Bombyx mori: one gene and its partner. The protein of the gene in region 1 interacts with the protein of each later gene in a pairwise test. Links are inferred from orthologs where the notes say so. Each region holds a gene or a part of one and is shown in the gene's direction. Other genes may lie near its edges.

Region 1 (7,173 bases):
TCGCCCATGGACTTCAGCAATGCCAGGGGCAGAGCCAAAACCGCTGCATACGTTAAGTACTCTAGCCGCTGCTTACCATTAAATACTCTAGTGTTCTTTACAAGGTGTTACCAATGAAGGCAAACTGTCATACCACCTGATCCTGGGTTCTGAAGATCACTTATCACGCAATGCATAGATGCATCTGATTTGATGTTTCAAAGCAGTTTAATAAATATCCCGTATATTCACACCCTCTCAGCTTTCCTGTCCGATCTTAATTTTGACTAGGAGACTATCGCTACTAAACGTCACAAGATGGGTGATCTTAGCTAGGGTAGGCCAATTTGAAAATTTCATAGAAACCGGTCCAGCCCTTTCGGAGATTTTAAAAATTAGCATAATTATCCCATATTAGCAACTAAATTCGGTTGTCCAGAAAAATGAATATCTCTTTCTCGTAGCTTTAGTGACTTGAAAATTTCACATATTATACAATCGAATCATAAATGGTGAGAAAAAATTTTACTCTTAATGTGGGAAAGATGAAAGTAAGTTTAATTAAATGCACTTTCCAAGGTAAAGGCTAACGAACTATCTTGCGATAAGATGAGGTGAGATAGAGTCGTCGCGGCCTAAAGGATAAGACGTCCGGTGCATTCGTGTTGAACGATGCACCGGTGTTCGAATCCCGCAGAGCGGGTACTATTTTTTCTAATGAAATACGTATTTAACAAATGTTCACGATTGATTTCCACGCTGAAGGAATAACATCGTGTAATAAAAATCAAACCCGCAAAATTATAATTTACGTAATTACTGGTGGTAGGACCTCTTGTGAGTCCGCACGGGTAGGTACCAACCACCACACCACCTATTTCTGCCGTGAAGCAGTAATGTGTTTCGAACGGTTCGAAGGGTGGGGTAGCCGTTGTAAATATACTGAGACCTCAGAACTTATATATCTAGGTGGGTGGCGCATTTACGTTATAGATGTCTATGGGCTCCAGTAACCACTTAACACCAGGTGCGCTTTGAGCTCGTTCACAAACCTAAGCAATAAAAAAAGAAAAAAAGATGTAGCGTAAACCCATCGAAAGCATAACCTGAAAACCGAATCTTGAACAAACAGGTTGTAGGTACATCCTACTGACATTGTAAATGCGAAAGCTTGTAAGAATGTATGGATGTCTATCACTTTTTCACGCAAAAACTACTGAATGGATTTTGATGAAACTAGAATAATATAGCTTATACACCAAAATAACATATAAGCTATAATTTATAAAGATATATTGTGAGTTACTCAAAATATAACAATAAGTGTCAAGTAAGTAGGAAAAATATCTGACGTCCTATTTTCATAATCAATGTTCCCGAAGCAAAGCGGGGGCGGGTCGCTATGTACTATATTTTGAGTTCTTATTTCTTTTCTCGTAATGTACACCCGTAGCAAGTCCTGTTTAGTGTTAAAAGGTTGATATCGCCCATACATTCAATAACGTGAATATTTCCATCCACTTGAAGCCAAGAGCTAGAAGTCGCTTATGTAAGGGGGGCTATCCTATCTTTGAAATCTGAACGCATGAGCGCTGTTCACACTTTCTTTGAAGCATTTTACGATCTTTTCCTGACAGTGGATTGTACATTGCGATTTATGTTGCGATATGTTAACAGTTTATAATTAACAAACGGCCCGCTCCGGCTCCGCTCGGGTCTTTAACAAAAATTTCAACGATATTTTACGTTGTTTTATCTTTTTAATTAAAAGAACACTTATTGCGGCATAACTACGCTACACTTTTTGTGAATAATAATGTGTCCTACAAAGTCGTAGTACATTATTTTATTCTATCATCAATAGTTTTCCCAGGGCACGCGATGTAAAGAATATTTTAGGTAATTATTTACTCCTTGGGTTACATTATTGGAGTTTTAGTAAGGATCCCTAATTTTTTTCAAAAAAGATTATAGCCTATGTCACTCGGGAATAGTGTAGCTTTCAAGCAGTGAAAGAATTTTTCAAATCGGTTCAGTAGTTTCGGAGCCTATTCAATACAAACAAACAAACACATCTTTCCTCTTTATAATATTAAAATAATATAGAGTATAGATTACTTTTTTGGAAAAAAGGGGGATTTTTATTGCACACATGGATGAAAGACCCCACGGCTTACCTAGTATTCGATATTAATAAAATATCAACTACCGGCCTATGATTCAAAAGTTCAATGACGAAAAAAGAATAACATTTGATACGAAGGATTTATTATTCCCAGTCACGTTTCTCAGCTAATCGCTCGTATTGACCGCTTTGTAATCTAATTCAGTCACTATGTCAGCATCTTGTGTATTCAAAGCACGTGCTGCCTTAGACAGGAGCTTGCTTTCGTCCACCTTGAAATTTTAGCAGTTTATGTATGAGTATATTGTTGTTTTGTCTGATGGGATAAGGATTTTATAGATAAACGGAAATTATAAGGAAGATTTTATTGAATGCCAGTCACCAGTGAAATTTGATTAACGATCGGAACTCTAAGTCTGCGCTCGCTACATACCTATTAGGGCATTTGACGTCTTTTTATAAGGGTAGGTGGAGAAGATGGACTTTTATATTTATGCTCTGTTCTACAATTGAGACTTTAAACACCATGTATCACGATGGACGGTACCATTCACGATGTGTCTCCGGTATCTACTTGACATCTAAATGCAAGATTATATGTCCCTAAACTGAAAATTTTCACATCACAACGCAATTTCAACCACTCTTAATCGTTCGACTGTTATTTGTGTTCGTGATATCTGAAATAAAATATGTTTTTATACATTTCATAATTACGTAACGTCAAAGTTTACGTTGCAAATAATATCGAATTTCACGCGTTGAATTATATTTGCTAATATTTTTAGTAGGCTAGTATGTACTGTGTTACGTCAGCATGCGATGCTCTTTACAAAACAATGAAATTGGAGAATTTATGGGTCGTATTGCGTGTGCTCTGTTGAGTAATATGTCACGTTGCTTTATTATATTTTATAGATGAGATTACCTACGGCCAGCTGGTTATTAGTGCGTACCTGCATAATGTATAATATTAAATGCCTACCCTCGCGTGTATTCATATGTTTGTCGCCTCTATCACTATTAAATGCAGATTAACAAATTGCAGCATGCTGATTTTATACTATTCGGATAATGCTGCTCCCTCCCATCTCTAATATTTGGTGGATCTCTGTTTTTTTTATATTACGATATTTTATTGACGGCTTGGTCCCAGTAGGCTGTGGTGCTCTTAAGATTAAGCAGGCGGTCAGCGCGCCTACGCATTTACGTTAATAATAACACAAGATCATTTGATATGGATAAATGTGTTAACGGGAGCTAAAATTTATAAACGCACTTTGATAACTCTCTGATTTTTATCAAAATAACAGTTAACGATTATCCTTCTCTATTAATTGAAGATATCACTTCCATAACGTGGTTACGTCATGGGATCTAACTGCGACTGTGAGCACATCTCCCACACGTGTCCGCTAAATTAAAATTCCTTCAAGAGTTGTCTTTGCTCTGTCGTTTTCATAATATACATTTTAAGAAGTGTCACCATGCTATTTAGAATTTTTATGATATATTTTTTTAACCATAGAAACGGGTCGGTTGCGCTTCAAGCGGTGCTGATTGCGACACAAGCCACAAAATCGGCGACATTCCCCCAAAAAAATATAGGAAATATGCTAATATTTTGTTTTATTCGGTCTTCAGGCATCATATCCTTTAGACCACTACAATTTCTGTGTTGTTTACAAACTCCTTTTTTTTATTTGCAATAAAACACTTCACCCTCCTACCAGTCAACCAGCCTACACGGTATGTTCAGTGGACCTAGATTATGAATCTAAATTGTTTTAGAAGTATTTATACACTTATCATTTTCTTGAGCGGATGTTTCAAATAAATTTGATCGCCGTATATTTAAGGTATTTGATGTGCTTGTGTTTATAGAGGAGACTGAGATGACTCGTAGAAAAACTTTGAAATTGGGTGTTAATATGAGACATTTAATGTGGATACAGACTGCGCACACATAGAGTTTGAAACGAACTCTATCATTTTTTAAGCTGTAGATATTAAGTTACAGCCAGTCTTATAAGATGTGGCAACAGGAGCCTTTAAATCTAACAAGGAGAATAATGGTTCCGTCACTGAAACCGGAAGGTGTGCTTACGTTGTAGCAGAAACAGGCAGGACTGTGATACTCACCCGTGTGGGCTTACAATAAGCCGCACTACTAGTAAAATGTGAATAAGACATTTCGTATCTTTGAATTTGTGCGAAATACGCAACACCGTCACGCACGTCACGTCCAACATGAATCTTTGATCTCTAGTTCGACGCGGGAAGGGGGAACTCAGGGTACTTCGCGCACTTAAATTCCAAGCGCCTCATACTGCATGCCTTATGAGACTTATCTTTTTTTTATTGCTTAGATGGGTAGACGAGCTCACAGCCCACCTGGTGTTAAGTGGTTACTGCAGCCCATAGACATTTACAACGCAAATGCGACACTCACCTTGAGATATAAGTTCTAAGGTCTCAGTATAGTTACAACGGTTGCCCCACCCTTTAAGTCGAAACGACTGCTTTACGGCAGAAATAGGCGGGGCGGTGGTACTTACCCGTGCGGACTCACATGAAGTCCTACCACCAGTAATAAGTATACCACCCCCACCACCACCAGTAATAGTTATCCAAAGTAAATTTAAGATTGTAATGTCGTCGAATGACTCCTTGTTGCAGTGTCCGTGTGTGGAGCGTCGTGTCGGCATGTCGAAGAAGCCGGCCGCGCAGCCGACGCTGCATAAGGTGATCATGGTGGGCTCGGGGGGGGTCGGCAAGTCCGCCCTCACCCTGCAGTTTATGTACGATGAATTCGTAGAAGACTACGAGCCCACCAAAGCCGATAGTTACAGGAAGAAGGTAAGAAGTTTTTTTTTATTGCTTAGATGGGTGGACGATCTCACAGCCCGCCTGGTGCTAAGTGTTCACTGGAGCCCATAGACATCTACGATGTAAATACCGCCACCCATCTTGAGATATAAGTTCTCCTACCCTTCCCTACCCTTCAAACCGAAACGCATTACTGCTTCGCGGCAGAAATAGGCAAGGTGGTGGTACTTACCCGCGCGGACTCACAAGAGGCCCTACCACCAGTAAATAAGAGGATACATTGTTCTGACTTTACGTTACGATCCGTCTTCACCAAAATTATAGAAAGATAGTTTTTTAACTGCATTAGGAAAGGAGTAGACTTGTCATATCTATGCTGTAATTGAGCATAACGCACATTCACCTTCAGGTCAGCCATAACGTACGCATTCATTTTATGTAATGTCCAGGTTGTCCTGGATGGAGAGGAAGTCCAGATCGATATCCTGGACACAGCGGGCCAGGAGGACTATGCCGCCATCAGGGACAACTACTTTAGATCCGGCGAGGGCTTCCTTTGCGTTTTCTCCATCACTGAGCCTGAGAGCTTCGATGCCACACAGGAGTTCAGGTAATGTAAGAATTGATCATTGGCTTCCAGAATTCATTTTCATTACAAATTGAATTTCACTCAAAAAATTCTGACTATGAAGATCTATACTCGTGATTGCGAACTAAAGATCATTTTAATATCTATAAAAGCGGCGTGATTTTCTTTACGGCTGCGGGAGTTGAATTTTGGCAGGAGTAAGATACCATACTGCCACTTCTTTACAGAGAGCAGATCCTTCGTGTTAAAAACGATGACAACATTCCGTTCCTGCTGGTCGGGAACAAGTCGGACCTCGCGGACAAGCGCCGGGTGCCGCTCGAGACCTGCAGGGAGAGGGCGCACAACTGGCAGGTGCCCTACGTCGAGACCTCGGCGAAAACTAGGGACAATGTCGATAAGGTAACTTCTTCCTTAAGCTCTAGTACTTAGAGTCTTTATAAGTCCAGCAGAACCCACATTGAGAAATAGGCCACAGGTCAAGGATACCCTTGGTAAGGTAATCATTTCTTCTCAAAATTATTTAGATGGAATTATCTTAGTTCATGTTCTGCAGGCTGCCAGACAACTCAGAATATTGGATGGATTGCGGTTTATGTTCAGGTAAGCTTTTTAATTGTTTCGGTTAGGAAGAATAACTTGGAAAAATAGAAACAGGGTTTTCTGTTACTGAGAATAGATTTGAATTAAACAGTTTGATTTTTATTTCGTGCTTCATGTGATAACGGAAGTACTAGGTGTGCTTGGCTCAATTATTTATTCTTAATAACAAGTTGTGGTATTAAACAAGAGCACAACCACATTGTATGGAAATAATAAAAACGATTATGTTAATACAAAAGGTATTAAGCGGTGAACGACTGATAAGCAGTTAATCTAGGATTAGGGTTGTCCCATACGATAAGATATATCGATTAATTATTTATATCGACTTTACGATTAGAGTGTATTAAAGAAATATAAATAGGCAATTGTAATTAATTAATTATGTGAAAGATATTTAATATCCGCCTGTCGTCATGAAAATTATTGTGATAAATATGTAACGAGGTGTGCATAGGGACGGGTTCGTAAGTGATTACTGCAACCCTGGGGGTCGCAACGATGCTGTCACTAACTGTGAAACAAAGATGAGTTCATGGAAGTGTGTGTGAGTGAGTAAGTGAGAGAGAGAGAGAGAAGTGACGTCCGACACCCATTATGCGGGCCGGCTCGGAAACGGAACACTTGACTGCTTCGAGGTAGGATTGAGTCGGACGGGGGTACCGCCCCGCGCGGACCCCAACACGCTCCACTGCCGCTACTGACGCACAGTTTTGAGGATTATACAAAGTTGACTTGAGGTGAGTACTCACAGGTGCCCTAGACTAGTTCTGTCGTTACCAGCTCCTCAATCTCCACAATCCGGTACAGTACCTAATTATACGAAGGCTAAGTGTTTTTGGAGATATTTTGTCAACTTTCAAAGGTTAGGCATTACGTCGCGTCACATCTATTAAGATGAGATGTTCTTTTCTGTCCGGCTCCTAAGGCAAAGTTTGTCACATTGTTGTACACGTGCCGACGAGCTCAGGGCTGCTCATCGGAGAGCCTTTGACATACAGACGTTGAAATGACGTACAAGCAGCAACAGCGTATACTTACTAATTAA
Region 2 (6,615 bases), on another chromosome or scaffold:
ATAAAAACAAAATTCTTACAAAAAAATTTAAAGTTTTTAATTAGCAAATAAAGAATAAGGGTTGATCGTAGAGGGGTCAAAATTTAGGGTTGTATGTATTTTTGTATGCTGTATCATAAAAACATAAAAACAAAAATTTTTGTCTAAAAAATAAAAAAATAAATTTAGGGTTGGACCACCCTTAACATTTAGGGGAATGAAAAATAGATGTTGTTAGATTCTCAACCCTGACCGATATGCACGCTAAGATTCACGAAAATCGGTCGAGCCGTTTCAGAGGAGTATGGGAACGAACAATGTGACACGAGAATTTTATATATTACGAGAATTTTATATATTACGAGAACTTTATATATTACGAGAATTTTATATATTACGAGAATTTTATATATTACGAGAATTTTATATATTAGATTAGATTATTTTGTCCGTGCTGTTTGAGTCATAAATAATGGCTTAGGTGGGGAATATATATTTTTTTTATTATCGTCATGTAAGCGATTTTGAAGGATGGGTAGGACAGCTGGTTCGCAAATAGTATACTATCGCCTCGTTAAGCGATTATCGGGGAGTGCACTCTGAGCGGTCCCCCTACCGTGGTTCGTGAGGAATGTCGAGCTACACGACGACCTTGACCTCGAATCAACCCGGAAACGCATGAAGTCAGCCTCAGACCGCCGCCGCTAACTGCTCCCCGAATCCTGATTACGCAGGAGCCAGTCCCAATCAGATCCAATAACCCTTGCATTAGACGTCTTTAGCTTAAGGATTCTGTGCACGTTTAGGGACCCTGGCAACCGTATTTGTGGAACTCGGCAAAGATTTCGACGTGCAACCTAACCTAAACATCAGCCCGCTGAGCTTCTCGCCGGATCTTCTCAGTGGGTCACGATTCCGATCCGGTAGCAGATTCATTCGCGAAGCAGCTACTTTTGAGTTGTTAAATCTCCCTTGGAAGCGCTCGGGTAGATGTTAGCAAATCCCACCCTTCCTTGCTGAGCTCTTGCTCGCCCACCTGTCCTTATGGAACTGGAAAGGCCTCCGGGCCACCAGTATTCACACAATCATAAAAAAGGCTGGTCCACCCGTCTTATGTATAATAACGATCGTCAGACTGACAGCGTGTGTGGCGCGTCGGCGGGGCGCTACGTGCGCGACATCTGCGAGACTGTGTGCGAGGAGGTGGCGCGGCTGGCGGCGTGCGCTCCCCCCGCGCTGCCCCGCCCCGCCGCCTTCCGCGCCACGCTCGAGTACACGCTGCTCTCCGTCGCCATCAGGGACCACCTCACCAGGAAGGCAGAGTCAGTTAACTATTTTCATTTGTTTCTTTATTAGCGATGCGGCCAGAGGAACAATACCCGATCCGGTGGATCGAATGGTAAACAGTCGATGTCGCCCTAAACACGTAATTTCGGATCCTCTCGATCCGGTAACGTTGCTTTTAGGTACCTCAAGCACCGATCATCGTTTGCGTTGAACCCGTCGCTTGCGACGACGGGCTTAACGTGTAAATTAACCCACAGACACAGCCCACTGAGTTTCTCGCCGGACCTTCTCAGTGGGTTGTGTTTCTGATCCGGTGGTAGATCATTTACTGGTGGTAGGACCCCTTGTGAGTCCGCGCGGGTAGGTACCACCAACCTGCCTATTTCTGCCGTGAAGCAGTAATGCGTTTCGGTTTGAAGGGTGGGGCAGCCGTTGTAACTATACTGAGACCTTAGAACTTATATCTCCAGGTGGGTGGCGTATTTACGTTGTAGATGTCTATGGGCTCCAGTAACCACTTAACAACAGGTGGGCTGTGAGCTCGTCCACCCACCGAAGCAATAAAAAAAAATTCAAAGAAATTTTACATTAAACATTTTCGTATAGACCTCAAATAGAAAAACTGAAATCATGATTGTTCGACCTGATGTCTGTAATCTTCAGAGTTAGGATGCTGGACCACAAAGTTGACTATTTAAAAAAGGTGGTTTGAAAACACATTTGAACCGAACGATAATTCTTAAGGCTAAAAAATGTATATTATAAATCGTTGACAAACAATTTCAGTCATAAGAAACATTATGTTTTATTGCGTAAAATATTTAATTTCAATAATTGTCTTCTCGGTTGCAGAAACTACTTAAAGGAGGCTCTAGCGGCCGTGCCGCCGCTTGAACTTGAAGAAGATAAAATGTGAGTAAAACTATTGATCAGATTCACATTACGCAGTGAACAGAATTTTATGGCGGGCGTAGTTTGTATAGGAACTATTTATCTATACTTCTATACTAATATGTATTATAAAGAGGAAAGATTTGTTTGTTTGTTTGTATTGAATAGGCTCCGAAACTAAAGGACCGATTTGAAACATTCTTTCACTGTTTGGGAGCTACACTATTCCCGAGTGACATAGGCTATAATCTTTTTTGAAAAAAAAAACTGGGGATCCTTACTAAAGCTCCAATAATATAACCCAAGGTGTAAACAAATTACTTAAAATATTATTTACATCGCGTGCCCTGCGAAAATTATTGATGATAGAATAAAATAATGTACTACGACTTTGTAGAACATCTTATTATTTACAAAAGTGTCGCGACAGAATATGTCTAACTATTACAGTCATGCCGCAATAAGCGTTCTTTTATTTTTAAAAATAACACAACGTCAAATATCGTTGAAATTTTTGTTAAAGACCCGAGCGGAGCCGGAGCGGGCCGCTAGTTAATTATATTTTAACTATATCACTCACCGTACCACTTCTTGCGTTACAGACGTATGCAAAGTATTGTACAGGATTTCAAGAAACGAATGGCACTTCAGCTGGCGAGTTTGAATTGTAACACGGAGACAGTTTAATTTACGAATTCACTTCAGTATTATCAAAGAATTCATTTTGAATGACGAAATTAAATATGATAATGGCTTTTGAATAGAATTAAAGTGGACACAGCGAATATGTTTATTTTATTTACATTTGTCTTATTTTAATGTAGAAAATAGTTATTTTAATCTTAAATGCATAAAAATACAGGGGTGGACAGACGTTTGTCTTCAAAATCTAGCAAAAGTAGCAAATGTTATGATGGCGGAATTATTTGCACACAAACCACAGACCATGAAATCACAAGAAACCACAGACTTATAAAATGTTTGAAACATTACAGTGCAAAAATTTTTCTGGGTCAATTTTTTTTGCTTCTAAGACGTGTAATCTCTGTTATATCAGCTGTAATATGGAAAACTTTTGCTAAAAAAGTTTTTTTTTCGGAAATGTCGTTTCTTTTGTATTTCACTTTGGAAAGTTCTTTTTTTTTGTATGAGAGATTGAAATTTTAAAACCAATCGCATAAATTTTAGGAAATCTCATCTATAACTAATATCTAATTCGTGAAACAAAAAATAAGATCAAAATTTTAAACCATGGCAGTGTTGATAACAAACACTATTAAAAGAATTGAGTCTTCCACCTCTTTCTTGAGCCTCAGTGCCATGCAACACCAGACTGTCACAGAGTTCGTTAATTAACCGATATTTATAAAAAATCACTAAAGTCCGGCCGCTGGAAGAATGCACTCGTGATTTTACGATTTTTGTTACGATGTAACTTTGAAGTAGGGTTTAATTTACGTTTATTATTTTTTTGACCTACAAATGTATAATTATGATTAATAAGTAAAAGGTTATGTCAATTTAAAATAAATATCATAATCTTGCGCTAAATTAAAGTTAAATCTTTCATTCCCCGACCCTACCTCTACCGTGTAGATGTCAATATAAATTGTCACGATAAATTTACACGAAATGTCACTATGAATTAATTCTCCGTCTCCACCTCTACCATACCGTGTAGATGTCAATATAAATTAAGATTTTTTTTAAATGTATATTTATTTATTCATATATTTAAAATCAAAGGAAACACTAAGCAAAGTATTTTATTATTGTTTCTATAACATAACATTATTCATAATAAACGATTATATTGTTATCTAAATCAATGTGTTTTTATTTCTAAATCTTGCTCTTCTTGTAGTTCTGAAAATTAAATACCTATTAAAATGTTTTTATTTTATTTATTTTTTATTGCCTTTGTAGGCAGACGGGCATACGGCCCACCTGATGGTGAGTGGTTACCGTCGCCCATGGACTTCAGCAATGCCAGGGGCAGAGCCAAGCCGCTGCCTATCGCTAAATGAATAAGAATTCGTCATGTGATACTATTCTACAATAGCGAAACTGCCTTAACGCTATTGCCAATATTTTGAACAATGTCAATACATTCCTGGATACTGCCAGCCGCACCTCTGCTTGAACAGGCTTCATGTTACGTACATAAGATATTCAGAGTAACTAATCTTGGACCATCTTTAAACCAACAGCTCCTTATTTGAAAGGTATCGGAAATGTTCTCGTACCAAATATTTCACAATTTTCATTGTAGACAATATAAATATATTGTACCCAACAGCAAATTGTTTAAAAACAGCATCGAATTTATCAGTAAAACGACGTAGCAATTAACGTTTCAAAATTGGAGACCAGGAATAGTGGACTTGTAGAGTGAATAAGTATATTATTTGTGGTGTGAAATGCTCCTACCCCTCTGGAATTATCTGGGATTTTTTATTTCTTTTAATTTTTAACCTGCGCTCACCGATTATGTGTAAACTTTATTTTTACATTTAAATATTACATTCCTTTTTTTTTATGAATGAAAGATTACTGGTGGCCCGGAGGCCTTTCCAGTTTCATCAGGTCAGGTGGGCGAGCAAAGGCTCAGCCTGGAGGGGTATTACATTCCCCCCACCAGACCTGTATATAGATGTCACTTGTTTCTGAAAATATTCTAGAATACTTGCTATTTTTATTCTGGAAAACGTCACTTTGTATATATGATATTTGGTAAATTTTATTATCGCTATTATGTTCGTAAAACTTTTTTTTGTTGCCCTTGTAGCCAGACGAGCATACGGCCCACCTGATGGTGACTGGTTACCGTCGCCCATGGAATTCAGCAATGCCAGGGGCAGAGCCAAGCTGCGGCCTACCGAAAAGCTAAACAGTTAGACGTAGCTATATAATAAACAAGCGACCCGCCCTCGCTTCGCTTCGGAAACTGTAATTTATTATTGATTTCTCCGCTATTTAATGGATGTAATTTATTATACATACAAACCTTCCTCTTCAATCACTCTATCTATTAAAAAAAACCGCATCAAAATCCGTTGCGTAGTTTTAAAGATTTAAGCATACATAGGGACAGACAGATATAGGAACAGAGAAAGCGACTTTGTTTTATACTATGTAGTGATGACTTAACAAATTTTTAGCACGATTGTCATCTATATATATAAAAATGAATTGCTGTTCGTTAGTCTCGCTAAAACTCGAGAACGGCTGGACTGATTTGTCTAATTTTGGTCTTAAATTATTCGTGGAAGTCCACAAAATGTTTAAAAGGTGAATAAATATGAAAATGTTCGGAATTATATAAAAACAAACAATTTTGTTTTTCCTTTGATGTGTCTCCTGTTGGACGGATTCCTTTTGTTTTTTATAAGTTTATTTTATACAAAAGTTTAGGTCTTTTATTTATCGATTGAGGCAGTACAAAGTCTGCCGGGTCAGCTAGTAATTAATAACTACTTGTAGTAGAAATCGCGATATGTACCTGAGAGGCTAGTTTGTGGAGTAAATTCGACATCGACGGGCCTGTTTCCTGCACCATTTTACGAAATTGCCCTCTCTTGTTTTGCAGAAGTATATGAGGATGGTCGAACTCTACCAGACGACCCGCGTCTAGCACCAAAATCTACATCGAACACAGCATTTTATTATAACAATAATATATGACGGAGCGAGCGGTTCGTTTGTGTTTCTAAAATGAAGGACGAGCTCACAGCCCACCTGGTGTAAAGTGGTTACTGGAGCCCATAGACATCTAAAACGCAAATGCCGCCACCCACCCTGAGACATGAGTTCTAAGGTCTCAGTATAGTTACAACGGCTGCCCCACCCTTCAAACCGAAATGCATTACTGCTTCACGGCAGAAATAAGCGGGGCGGTGGTACCTACCCGTGCGGACTCACAAGAGGTCCTACCACCAGTTAAACCAGGGGCACAACTAAAATGCTGCTACCTGCTGACTTACCTTGTTAGAATCTATAACAGTGTTCAATCTGTGCGCAATGGTAAGCACAGTGCATTCTTTGAAGTGTTCCCTTATGGTGTTTTGAATCAAGGAGTCTGTTTGAGCATCGACATTAGCGGTCGCCTCGTCCAGTACTAAAATTCGGTCGTTGTGGACGATGGCTCTCGCTAAACATACGAGTTGGCGTTCTCCCACACTGAAGTTTGATCCACCTTCAGACACGTCTTTGTAAAGTACACCTGTGTGGGCACAGGATTGATTATTGATTTGACGGTTGATTCTATCATCAATGAGAGAAATCCTATATAGGTATTTTGAGAAAACGTAGTAACAATTGAACAATTTCATGGCTCAGTGGTTACGGGAACCCAGATAAATGTCATCACGTGAGGTACATAAAAAAGCGGATTCGAAGTTCGATAAAAAAAATAGTTTAAAAAACTAACAAAATACGCTTTTACAGAAAATCCAACTA

The links. The genes of interacting proteins can lie anywhere in the genome.
Region 2: the proteins of ras-related protein Ral-a (region 1) and exocyst complex component 2 interact in a two-hybrid assay, tested with the Drosophila melanogaster proteins (2 studies listed by BioGRID). The link is inferred for Bombyx mori from reciprocal best matches to the Drosophila melanogaster genes Rala and Sec5.

What each region holds. Positions count from the first base shown.
Region 1 is NC_085114.1:15,862,234-15,869,406, forward strand, and holds part of ras-related protein Ral-a, read left to right. Parts: intron 1-4,783; coding exon 4,784-4,963; intron 4,964-5,382; coding exon 5,383-5,543; intron 5,544-5,749; coding exon 5,750-5,924; intron 5,925-6,078; coding exon of another isoform or gene 6,079-6,129; exon of another isoform or gene 6,130-7,173.
Region 2 is NC_085121.1:12,815,698-12,822,312, forward strand, and holds the end of exocyst complex component 2, read left to right. Parts: intron 1-1,113; coding exon 1,114-1,301; intron 1,302-2,118; coding exon 2,119-2,178; intron 2,179-2,759; coding exon 2,760-2,844; 3' UTR 2,845-3,982; downstream 3,983-6,615. Other genes in the region: ATP-binding cassette sub-family C member 4, read right to left, coding at 4,000-4,023, 5,660-5,800, 6,141-6,379. UniProt on the Drosophila melanogaster protein: Component of the exocyst complex involved in the docking of exocytic vesicles with fusion sites on the plasma membrane.